Linked DNA regions of Caenorhabditis elegans. The protein of the gene in region 3 interacts with the protein of the main gene of each other region in a pairwise test. Each region holds a gene or a part of one and is shown on either strand. Other genes may lie near its edges. The genes, in order: ZK546.5, mec-3 and Y56A3A.28.

Region 1 (3,756 bases), on a different chromosome or scaffold from region 3:
TATTCTTTTTTTAGATTGTTGCCGTTTTAAGGAAATAAACTAAATTGCAATTAATTTTCTTGATTCAATTACTTCCCGCACTTCGATGTAGTGTTTTGATGTATTGAATCATGAAATTACTTTATTTTCAACAAAAAAGTTGGTAAAGTGTTCCTAGAATTAAAATGGTGTAACTGGACGAGTCTCAACCCATTTTTTGATATTTGGAATAGAATGAATCTTCTTTTGATGAGCCTTGAGTTCTGGGAATTCGTCTAGAAGTGATTGACTGGCAGCAAACACAGATCCACTGTCACTGAGAAGATCTGATGTATGTTGAGCAATCAACAGATCAACCCAGGTGACAGAGTCACCGATCAAGAATCCAGATCCACTGGCTTTAAGGAAATTGGTGAAGAATTGGTAGTTTTTCTTGAAATTTGGAAGGAATGTGTCCTTGTAAAGAGCATCGGCATCTCCTTGTGCAAATCCCATTTTCACGAGATTATAAGATCGGATGTCATTGAGATAATCTTTGAATTGATCTGCAATTGCATTCACTTGAGCTTCTTCCCATGGACATCTTCCATTTATTCCAAATTGGCGAGCAAGAAAACGAGAAATTGCATGGGATTGTCCAAGTGGTTTCCCATCCTGATAAAGGACAGGAAGAGTTCCGAACGGCATAGCTGGAAATATAGAAAATTCAATACAACATTTTTAGACATAAAAAAATTAAATTAGAAAAACCTGTACACAAATATCCCGCCAGCCTCGCAATTAAAAGTGATCGTATTTGTTATTCTATTACATGGAAGATACTTTAACATATATCTCGATTTTGGAACTATACATATTTCATTTCAAAGAGCACCTTCTAAATAGGTCCCTACAAAAAAGTTAGATTTATACGGGAACTTTGAACCAAAAAAGGTAGTTCTGAGATTGCTTTCAGGTCAGTTTTTGTGAACAAAAATCAATGATTTATAATAAGACCCAGAATATTGGTGTCAGGTCTAATCAAGATTTTATCAAGTGGATCTCGCCACGCCCACAGCGGTTAGAGCGGCACAACATTTTAATCACGAATAAATAGTATTTTGAAAAAAAAAGTTTCAAAAACTCACTCGACTTGAGAGCTGGCCAATCAGCCTGTGGAATCCGGTGATCCTCAAACTTTTGCCCGGCATATGCCAGAATCTGTCGTGGAATTTCTCCAGCAAATCGAATTGGAAAATATGAAAGTTTATAGTGGACCATAGTGTGTTTGGAGTCGAATGATGAAAGACCAATTCAAACATTCTCTTTTATACTGTCTCCTTCATTCAATTTGTTTGTCATTCTCATCGTGTTTTTTTTTCGAAGTAAGGCGGCATTAAAAATGTACGAGAAAGGTTGCCAAAATGATGACAATTGCTTGGAATTGGGAGAAAATCGAGGAAACTAGAGACGCGTCTTGCCACATTTATCATCCTTGCTAATATTAAGGTGTGATTCTGTTGGTCTTACGTGATTTGAGAATGCTCTTTTTTATAGTCAGCATATTTGAGACACTAGTGTAATAATGAAGAATTGAGAACAGTTCATATCTAACAAAATGACTATTACAATGTAAACTTTAATTAATAAAAAAAATTAATTTAAATTTCCGTTCTTCACTAATTACCTGGCAATTTACGAAAAAATACGGTACCCGGTCTCGAAACGACCAACTAGATTTAAAGGAGTACTGTAGATCTCGCAATTGTCTTGGATTTGTTGTTATTTTCATAATTTACATCAAAATTGGAATTCAGAGCTGAAGACATGAAGAGTACGTACAGTTTTGCTTACCGAACAAAAAATATACGATTATTTTTAATACTTTTTGGTCCAATTTACTCGTCTAGTGGCCCTTCCCACAAAGTCGACTCCAACGCTGCGTCTCCGTTCTCTCGCTTGCATCCAATGGAGCGCACTTACATTAAATTTTATTTATTGAATTTTTATCGGTTTTGCCATGTATTTTTTAGTTTTAATTCCTCTAACTTTCTACAATTTAGTAAACTTTTTTGTTTTTAGATGGCTGCAATTATAGGTGGAGGACCACGAAAACCGCCAAGAATCATACGAAAAAATGTAGCGCTTAAACATACGCGGAAAGGTATAAAAATATTGTTTTTAGTCGCAGAAGTCATAATTCAAATCATTATAGATGTTCGAGACGACGAAGGTGAAAAAGTTAAACGAGAAGGATATGAAGTACAATCAGGAGTATTGACTGTAAATGAGGTAGATTTGTTATTTAATTTAAGTATTAAATTATTGTAGGAAAAATTATTAATATTCAGAATCACCCATCCAACTTCAAACCGAAGAAATTGCCAGGAATCGCTAACGATGTCGAATCTTATCCATGCCGATTTTGTGAGGAGAAAATTTTTTTGACTGCATCAGGACTTGAAAAGCATGGAAGAGAGTGTCACCTGCAGAATTTAGACGATATCATGCTAGATATTAATACAATTTGTGGAGAATGGAAGAAAAGAGAGGTATTTTAAATTTAGAAAATTGTAACTTTTTTTAAAACAAAATAAAGATTTCAGTTCGAACGGCTCCGATCTCGCGATCGACTAACAATGGATAAAATGAGACACGAAGCAAGAGCACATCAACTTGTAAAAGCTGTTCTTGCTGGAAGTAAGTAAAATTAGAAAAAAATAAATAAATATATAATAAAATGTACATTTTAAGATCAGCCGACTGTAGGAGGAGAACAATATGAAGCTTGTACAATCTGTAATATGCTCGTCAACATAGCACATCCAACAGCCATGGAATCTCATCAAAGAGCACACAAAAAGAATGACGAGCTTCGATTACAGCTTATTGATCGATTAGGAGCTCACGAGGTTCAGAATCTGACGTGTGAATTATGCTCATTAGTATTTCCTGATGATGGGAAGCTAAGAGCCCACGTTACATCGCATCACACCCGACGAAAAAAATATATTTGCAAGTTCTGCGGTCATATCTCTCACAGTATGTCAGAGTTGAATCTCCATAAAAACGATGTTCATAATTATGTAAGTTAGATTTAAATTCAACATTTTCGATTAATTTTTTCATTTTCAGACAGCATGGGCAAATGTACCAGAATACCTGAAATCACGTCGAACATTTTACCAATATGATGAAGAACAAAAACGATTGCGGCGACGAACAAATTTTGAAATGGCTGATGAAATGTCAATTCGACTGCCAATTCTTGGAGAGATTTCTGATGGAGACACTGCCGGACGAGTTACATGTCCAGAATGCGGACTAAAGTTGAATCGACCTCGTCTTTTGTTCAAGCACATGGAACGAGTTCATATGAAATCTTCGTTTTCTTGTATGGTTGAGACAGGAGGTCTCCCTACCTTTGAGTAATTATTTGTTTTAAACAAGAAAAATATCTAGAAAAAATATTTTTGCAGATTAGAAGTATCAAATGGTGAGATCTTTTGGACGTGCTGTGATTCTAAATTCGACAATCGTCCGGAGTTCATCGAACATCGACGTCTTCATATTCCAACTCAACATGAAGAAGTCGTTGTTGAAAGCTCCGAAGATCCGAATGATATTCCATCTACATCCCAAGCAATGATTCCAGATGAGGATGCAAATGAAGCAGCAGAACAACACAACTTCCCACAAATGATTCATGATGAGCATGGAAATATTCAAGTTCTCTTACCAGAAGGATATGATCTCAGAGAAACTTATTATATTTACGATGAGAATGGAACGAAAATT
Region 2 (3,756 bases), on a different chromosome or scaffold from region 3:
ACTCTCGGAATAAACTATCAAAATGAGGAGCGATGTGTTTTTTTTTAATTTTGCCCTGCAGGTACCCGGAGTAGTTGGCGAAGATAGAAATGGTGTTATCTTATATAAATTCAGACTTTCTCTGTTAAAATTTTAACCACCAAAAAATATAGAATTTATAAAAAGTTTCATTTTGAAATTTTATCTTTTGGGGCCATTTCACTACCTTATCAGGAAGAAATGTGTTTCATCAGAAATTGAATTTTTCATCTTTTCAGAAAGTGTACCTAATACCGTATCATGCTCATATTCACGTGAATAAGGCTTCTGCCCAGTTCTGTGATTCAAGGAAAACTACGAAAAATGATCTCATTTTCTTTGATTTATCACCGAGCTGGTGTGTCATCACACACAGTCTGTTTCTTGATAAAAACGCGCAGAAGTTAGAGCATTCATTGTGATTTTGGGTCTTTAATTTCTGTAAAACAAATAAAGTGACAAGTTTATCATCTGCCTATTTTATCAGTTATATGCATGGTTAGTTGCAAATAAGGGAGTAGAAATTGACTAAAACTCAAAATGAGCACTGAAACGAGGGGTTTTGTTAGTTGCGAAATAACAATTAATACAATCTGGTTGATTACTTTGTAAAAGGATAATAAAATATGCAAAACTTGGCGTATTCTGAGATTTCATTCCTAAAGACATTTATCAAAACAAATGTTTTCTGCAATTTTCTAAATTCTTGGAATTCTGCCCAGCAGCCTCTAATATCGCGTTTTACTTAGAAAATGACTTTTGGTTTCATTTTCTCATTTTCTGGCTTCTATTTTTCACAAATGCAAATATTTACATTTAAATTAGTACTTTCATTTCTACAAAGATCAAATTTAACATTATTGACAGGTTTACTGTTATCTTGTGACAGTTCCGTACTGTCAATCAAAACGAAAATTAAAACTCATGAAATATCAATGAACATAAATTGAAAAAAAAACCCAGTTGAAAGGAGAAAATAAGCGAAACACACCAACAACTGAGTAGTTACGCTCACAATTTGGAAATGATTTTGAAAACTCTCTGGACTGCATTTCAATTTTTAACAAACAATGAATACATACTGATAGTTTTTGTACTTCTCGGCATTCAGAGGCAACTTCCTGCCAACAACCTGGCAACTTATTTAGTGCCACTAAAATAAGTTGCCAAATTGTTGGCAGGAAGTTGCCTCCAAATGCCGAGTTGGAGCAAATGATTCGATATGATTTTAAGGATACCTACGCATGCCTCCTGCCAAGACACGCACCCACCTACTGAAATGTCGCGGAATTTTACCTCCCAAACTATAGATTGGGTGAAACTTCACTGTAAAAGCTTTTTTTAAGTAGTAGGCTGGCAGTAATGAAGACGTCCATACCATAATTTTTAATGTTGTATAGAAAATCTGAATTCTCAAGTATAACATTTTCCAATAATTAGCATAGTCAGAAACTCTCCACCGCCGTTCCGTTCCTTTTTTTTGTAACTATGGAGTAATAGAACAAGATTATTCAAATTCAAATTTTTATAAAACTTTACAACGTCCTTTCCATATATTCTTCACACAACATTTGAAAAAACAACAAATTCATTCGAAATGCATTGCCCATAATGAATCGACCGAAAAACACAAGTGACCGTCAGGAGATCGATAGAGAGAGCCCGTTCCAACTAGACAACTTTTTAGTGCTTATCCTTACACACACTTTCTAGCTTCATAAGAAATGCATCTATTATCGTCACCATTTGGAGACACCAGTTTTAGCGCACATTAATAATCGATCAGGGTCTAGAGACTCCTGTTGGATTGGCATGCCACGCCTACATGACATCTGGCTCTTGACGGGTGATTTGTTACAGTGAGTAGCCACAATTTCGCGCATTTTCTTCTAAATTTCACTGTTATTTGTTCTTCTGATTTATTTCATTTGAACTATGGAAATGTTAGAGTCAAAGCCTCTCAGTGCGATTAGTATGGTTATTGATTCAATTGGAGTTGATCATGAAAATCAGGTGAGTAATTAAACTTGAGCAGTTGTGAATTTCATCAGAAAACAATTTTTCTTTAAAAAAATTTAAAAGTAACAATTTGAGAGTCAGAAAAATGAAATTAACATCAATCGAAAACTTACATTGCATTTGCTTGAAAGTTTTTACAAAGACTTCTGCGTGTCAAGAAATTCCAATTTGAAATTTATACAAAATCCGCACGAGGGAAAATTTCTGTTCGACTTTCAGAGAGTCAAGTAAAATTACCGCATCTTCTAAAAATTCTGAAAGTTAGATTCTGAAAGTCAATCGTGTAAACTTTTGGTTGGTATTCATTCTATTTTCCAATCTCATTTTATCGATACGATCTCTAGTGAAACTTGTGTCTAACATTCTATAATTTTTTTAAATATTTCTAGAACAAATGTAATTGCTGCAATGAGCAAATTTATGATCGTTATATTTATCGAGTAAGTTTGCTGATGTTTGTGGATTTTTCAAACTTTCTTTGCTTTGCTTCTGTAAACAGTCTGCTCAAAATCTTGAATATTTTTCTTTTGCTTCTATAGTTCGAACAACATTTCAAGATTTCAGCCATCATTTATTTTCAGATGGACAATCGATCGTATCACGAAAATTGTGTCAAATGTACAATATGTGAGTCTCCTCTGGCCGAAAAGTGTTTTTGGAAAAATGGGAGAATTTATTGTAGTCAACATTATTATAAGTAAGCTTTAGCAAAATATTCTTGGAATTAATAAAAATACATTATTTCAGGGATCACAGTATTCATCGGTGTGCGGGTTGCAAGAAAGGAGTGTCACCGACAGATATGGTATATAAACTGAAGGTATTAAATTGGGTCAGAATGTTTAAGAAAACATTAAACTTTGAGCGAACCTATACAAAAAGTTGTCAACTTTTTATCAATTAAATTTTTGACTACTTTTGTATAAACAGTAGGAATGCCCGAAAGATTTCAAAAAGCCTACAATTTCAAATTAAAAAAAAAACCAAAGCTTTGACTAATAGTTTTGAAAGATGTAATCATTTTTTACGCTTTGCTCTTTGCTCTGACGGGATCCTGCTAGACGCACAAGCATAGAGCTTGGGGCTTTGATCGGTAAAGTTTGACTCAAAGAACTTTACAGGCTGGGCTCGTGTTCCATGTGGAATGTCATTGTTGCTCTTTGTGTGGACGGCATTTATCACCGGGGGAACAAATTCTTGTTGACGATACAATGATGACCGTATCCTGTATGTCACATTATCCTCCTCAAATGGATGACAACGCACCTGGAGCAATAGGATCTGCAGTTGATATACCATCTTGTTCGACAGAAAATCCAATTGCCCCATATCCAATTGATGAATCTTTTTCATCAGCTTTCCAAGTTAAAAAGGTATACTTTATTTTTCGTTGAAAGTTTAAAGGGATTAAATACCGAATAATGTACTGCATATTTAATTTTTAGGAGGTTGACGCTTATGGATACAACTTTGAGCATTATAGCTTTTCCGATTTCTGTGATGATGATTCACGAATGCTAAAAAGACGCGGACCTAGAACGACAATCAAACAAAATCAGGTATACAATGTAAGAAAGCGGAAATTTTCATAATGATTTTCAGTTGGACGTGCTGAATGAAATGTTCTCGAATACACCAAAGCCGTCGAAACATGCTCGAGCCAAATTGGCATTGGAGACCGGTTTAAGCATGAGAGTAATTCAGGTTTGGTTCCAAAAC
Region 3 (3,756 bases):
AACCCCGCCCACTTCGCCTGATTGGTTGAAAAGTGGGCGGGCGAATCGCTGATTGGTCGGGCGGTTCTCATTTTTGTGGTTTTTGAGATTATTCCAGTTTTTTTTGAATTTTTTAAAGACAAAATCGACATTTTTTTCTATTTTTTGAAAAAAATTTACGGAAAATCGAAAATTGGAATTTTTCGATTAAAAAACAAAAGAAAATCGACATTTTTTCGATTTTTTTAATAGAAAAACAGAATTTTTAGATTTTTTAATTTTTTCAGATAAAATCGAACATTTTGTTGATTTTTATATATTTTTTAACGAAAAATTGGATTTTTTTTGTGGTTTTTTAAAGAAAAAATCGGAAATATATGGAAAAATTTTTTTTTTTTGTGTGAAAATCAGAATTTTTCGATAAAAAAAATCGACATTTTTTCGATTTTTTTAAATAGAAAATCGGATTTTTCTCGATTTTTTAAATTTTTTCAGAGAAAATCGAAAGTTTTTTCTAGTTTTTGATTTTTTTAAGACAAAAGCGGCATTTTTTCGTTTTTTAAAATTTTTACAGAAAATCGAAAATTTGTCAATTTTTTGTGAGAAAATCAGAATTTTTCGATTAAAAAAAAAAAAAATCGAAAATTTTGTCGATTTTTATATATTTTTTAACGAAAAAAAAAACCGGATTTTTTTCGATTTTTTAAACAGAAAATTGGAATTTTCTCGATATTTTTTTTCAGAGCAAATTTTTTTCGAGTTTAGGCCTGATTTTGCTCCAAAAAATCTGAAATAGGCTCAAATTTATTATGTTTCTAGGCATTTTTTTTGTGAAAAATCGCGTTTTTTCGTGATTTTTTCCTGGTTTTTCTAGATTTTTCGTACTAACAAGAGCTTCTTCTGATGGTTGATCATCCCATTCTTCCTCATTTTCAGCGATATCTTCGTCGGCTCCACGGGATACGCTTAGAGCAACTTCTCGTTCAAAAGCTTCCATAAGACAATCTTCGGTGTGCCAATAGAACTCGCGCTGAAAAATGAAATTTTTTGAATTAAAATTGAAATATTCGTTTAAAAAAAAAAAATTTCTGATTTTTTAAATTATTTTGTGAGAAAAATCGGAATTTTTTCGATTCTTTTAATATATTTTTAGAGAAAAATCGGAAATGTTTCAATTTTTTAAATTTTTTAAAAGAAAAATCGAATTTTTTTTTCGATTTTTAATTTTTGTATTAAATTAAAATAGGAATCTTTTTCGATTTTTAATAATTTTTTTAGAGAAAAGTCGGATTTTTTTAATTTGTAATTTTTTTTTTGAGAAAATCAGAATTTTTCCGCTTTTTTATATATATATTTATATTTTTAAAGAAAAATTGGAATTTTTTTTTCGATTTTTTTTTGAGAAAATTGCAATTTTTTCGATTTTTTAAAGAGAAAAATCGGAATTTTTCGATTTTTAATATAAATTTAAAAAAAAAACGGATTTTTTAATGTATTTTTAGAGAAAAATCTGATTTTTTAATGTATTTTTAGAGAAAAATCTGATTTTTTGATATTTTTACTGAAAAATCGGAATAATTTCAATTTTTAATATATTTTTAGAGAAAAATCGGAATTTTCTCGTTTTTTATAAGAAAAATTAGCATTTTTCAATGTTTTTAAATTTTTTTAAAGAAGAAATTGGAATTTTTTCGGTTTTTTAATATATTTTTTGGGAAAAATCGGTTTTTTTTTTTCAATTTTTAATATATTTTCTGCGATTTAATTAGAATATTATCTTCTCTACCTTATTCCGGAAATATTTTCTACATTCAAGGCATAAAAAATGCCGAGAAATTGAAGTCCAGCTCCGTTCCTCTTCGGTTTTTTGTCGCCGCATTCTTTTTTTCTGTTAAAAAAACAATTTTTCGCTGCAATTTCCGTGAAAAGCATTTAAAAATCGTTGAAACGAATGAAAAATTGGAAATTGAACAAAAAAATGGCCAGAAAATCGAATTTTTATGATGAAAAACCGAAAAAATGAGGAAAAAATGAGGAAAAATGAAGAGAAAATAGAAAAATCGATAAATAACAGAGTTCTTCAGTGAGTGGCGAGAGAGTGTGTGAGATGAAGAGACGCAGGGTGTTCGACAGGAGAATTTATTCATAAATCCGCCCAATTAATCGGGTTTCGACCGGAATTTTCGAGCTCCGTGTTGCATTTCGAGAAGCATTTGCATCCCCACCACTTGCGAGCACTCAGCGGAGACGGATGGGCGGTCTGGAAATTTTTTAAAATTTTTTAAAAAATTAAATTTGAGTTTAGTGGAAATATTTTTAAAATACGCTAAAAAATAGGTTTTTTTTTTCACAAAAATCAAAAATTTTGCGATTTTCCACGTCTGAAACCAATCAATTTTTCCCTTTGAAATTAATTTAAATTTTGGTGGAAAATGTCAAAAATTGCCAGAAAAACTTTAAAAAATTCAAGAATTTCCCACAAAATTGTAGTAAAATTGTCAATTTTCAGTTAAAAACCAAAAAAAAAAACAAGATTCTCCAGGTTTTGCTCCAAATTTGCTCCTTGTTTAAAATATCTATGTGAAAAATTGGAAAAAAAAGTCCCTTTTATTGTAGAAAATCGACGATTTTCAAACGCGCGCCAGACATTGAAGCGCGCTGTGTCTTGTGCCGATTTACGAGCCAGCTTTCAGCTTTTTATTCATTTTTATCGGTTTTTTTCGTTGAAAATTGTGTATTTTCGAGCCAATTGAACATTTTATGATCAGAAAACCGCGAAAATTTCCTATTTTTAGATGAAAAAGGAGGTAAATTCAGAGAAAATCGGAATTTTTTGAGTTTTTAAAGAGAAAATTGGAGTTTTTAAATAGAAATTTTCTCGAATTTTTTTTTCGATTAAAAAACAATTTCTGTTTTTCGATTTTTCTCTGAAAAAATAGAAAAAAAAAATTTTAATTTTCTCTTTTAAAAAATCGAAAAAATTCTAATTTTCTCCTTAAAAATTTCAAAAAAATTCCGATTTTCTCTTTTAAAAAATGGAAAAAATTCCGATTTTCTCTGGAAAACTATATGAAAAAATGGAAAAAATTCCGATTTTCTTTGAAAAAATCGAAAATATTCCGATTTTCTCTAAAAAATCAAAAAAAAAATCGAAAAAATTCCGATTTTCTTTGAAAAAAATTAAAAAAAACGAAAAAATTCCGATTTTCTCTGGAAAGAAATAGAAAAATTCCGGTTTTCTATTTAAAAAAAAAAAGAAGAAAAATTCCGATTTTCTTTGAAAAAATCGAAAAAATTCGGTTTTTTTTCTCTGAATTTAAATCATTTTCCATCTAAAAATAAGGAAATTTTGCGAGTTTTATAATAATAAAATGTTCAAAAAACCGAAAAAAAAAATGAAGAAACAGCAAAAAATTGGCTTTAAAAAAACAAATCTCGTAAATCGACACAACACGGTGCGTTCCAATGAGAATCGTCTCTGGCTCTCTGGCGCGCGTTTGAAAATCGTCGATTTTCTACAATAAAAGGGACGTTTTTTTCCAATTTTTCACATAGATATTCGGAATCAGGGGAAAATTTAGAGCAAACCCCTGAATTTTTTTTAGTTTTTAACTGAAAAGTGACAATTTTACTACCATTTTATGGGAAAATCTTGAATTTTTTTCTAGGTTTTCTGGCAATTTTTACCTAAATTTCCAGCAAAATCGCAAAATTTCCGATTTTACAGGTGAAAATCGGCAATTTTTGTCGTTTTCCAACACATTTTTAGGGAAAAAA

The links.
Region 1: the proteins of Y56A3A.28 (region 3) and ZK546.5 interact in a two-hybrid assay, tested with the Caenorhabditis elegans proteins (one large-scale study listed by BioGRID).
Region 2: the proteins of Y56A3A.28 (region 3) and mec-3 interact in a two-hybrid assay, tested with the Caenorhabditis elegans proteins (one large-scale study listed by BioGRID).

The regions. Positions count from the first base shown.
Region 1 is NC_003280.10:4,933,778-4,937,533, forward strand, and holds the start of ZK546.5 (C2H2-type domain-containing protein), read left to right. Parts: upstream 1-2,040; coding exon 2,041-2,122; intron 2,123-2,173; coding exon 2,174-2,250; intron 2,251-2,309; coding exon 2,310-2,510; intron 2,511-2,564; coding exon 2,565-2,658; intron 2,659-2,712; coding exon 2,713-3,044; intron 3,045-3,093; coding exon 3,094-3,386; intron 3,387-3,437; coding exon 3,438-3,756. Other genes in the region: gst-30 (glutathione transferase), read right to left, coding at 160-668, 1,107-1,239.
Region 2 is NC_003282.8:10,459,964-10,463,719, reverse strand, and holds the start of mec-3 (Mechanosensory protein 3), read left to right. Parts: upstream 1-1,852; 5' UTR 1,853-1,953; coding exon 1,954-2,031; intron 2,032-2,426; coding exon 2,427-2,477; intron 2,478-2,618; coding exon 2,619-2,734; intron 2,735-2,784; coding exon 2,785-2,857; intron 2,858-3,158; coding exon 3,159-3,410; intron 3,411-3,482; coding exon 3,483-3,596; intron 3,597-3,639; coding exon 3,640-3,756. UniProt on the Caenorhabditis elegans protein: Transcription factor. Specifies differentiation of the set of six touch receptor neurons (TRNs).
Region 3 is NC_003281.10:11,969,501-11,973,256, forward strand, and holds the start of Y56A3A.28 (C2H2-type domain-containing protein), read right to left. Parts: upstream 1,868-3,756; 5' UTR 1,859-1,867; coding exon 1,766-1,858; intron 1,010-1,765; coding exon 869-1,009; intron 1-868. Other genes in the region: ung-1 (Uracil-DNA glycosylase), read right to left, coding at 2,123-2,239.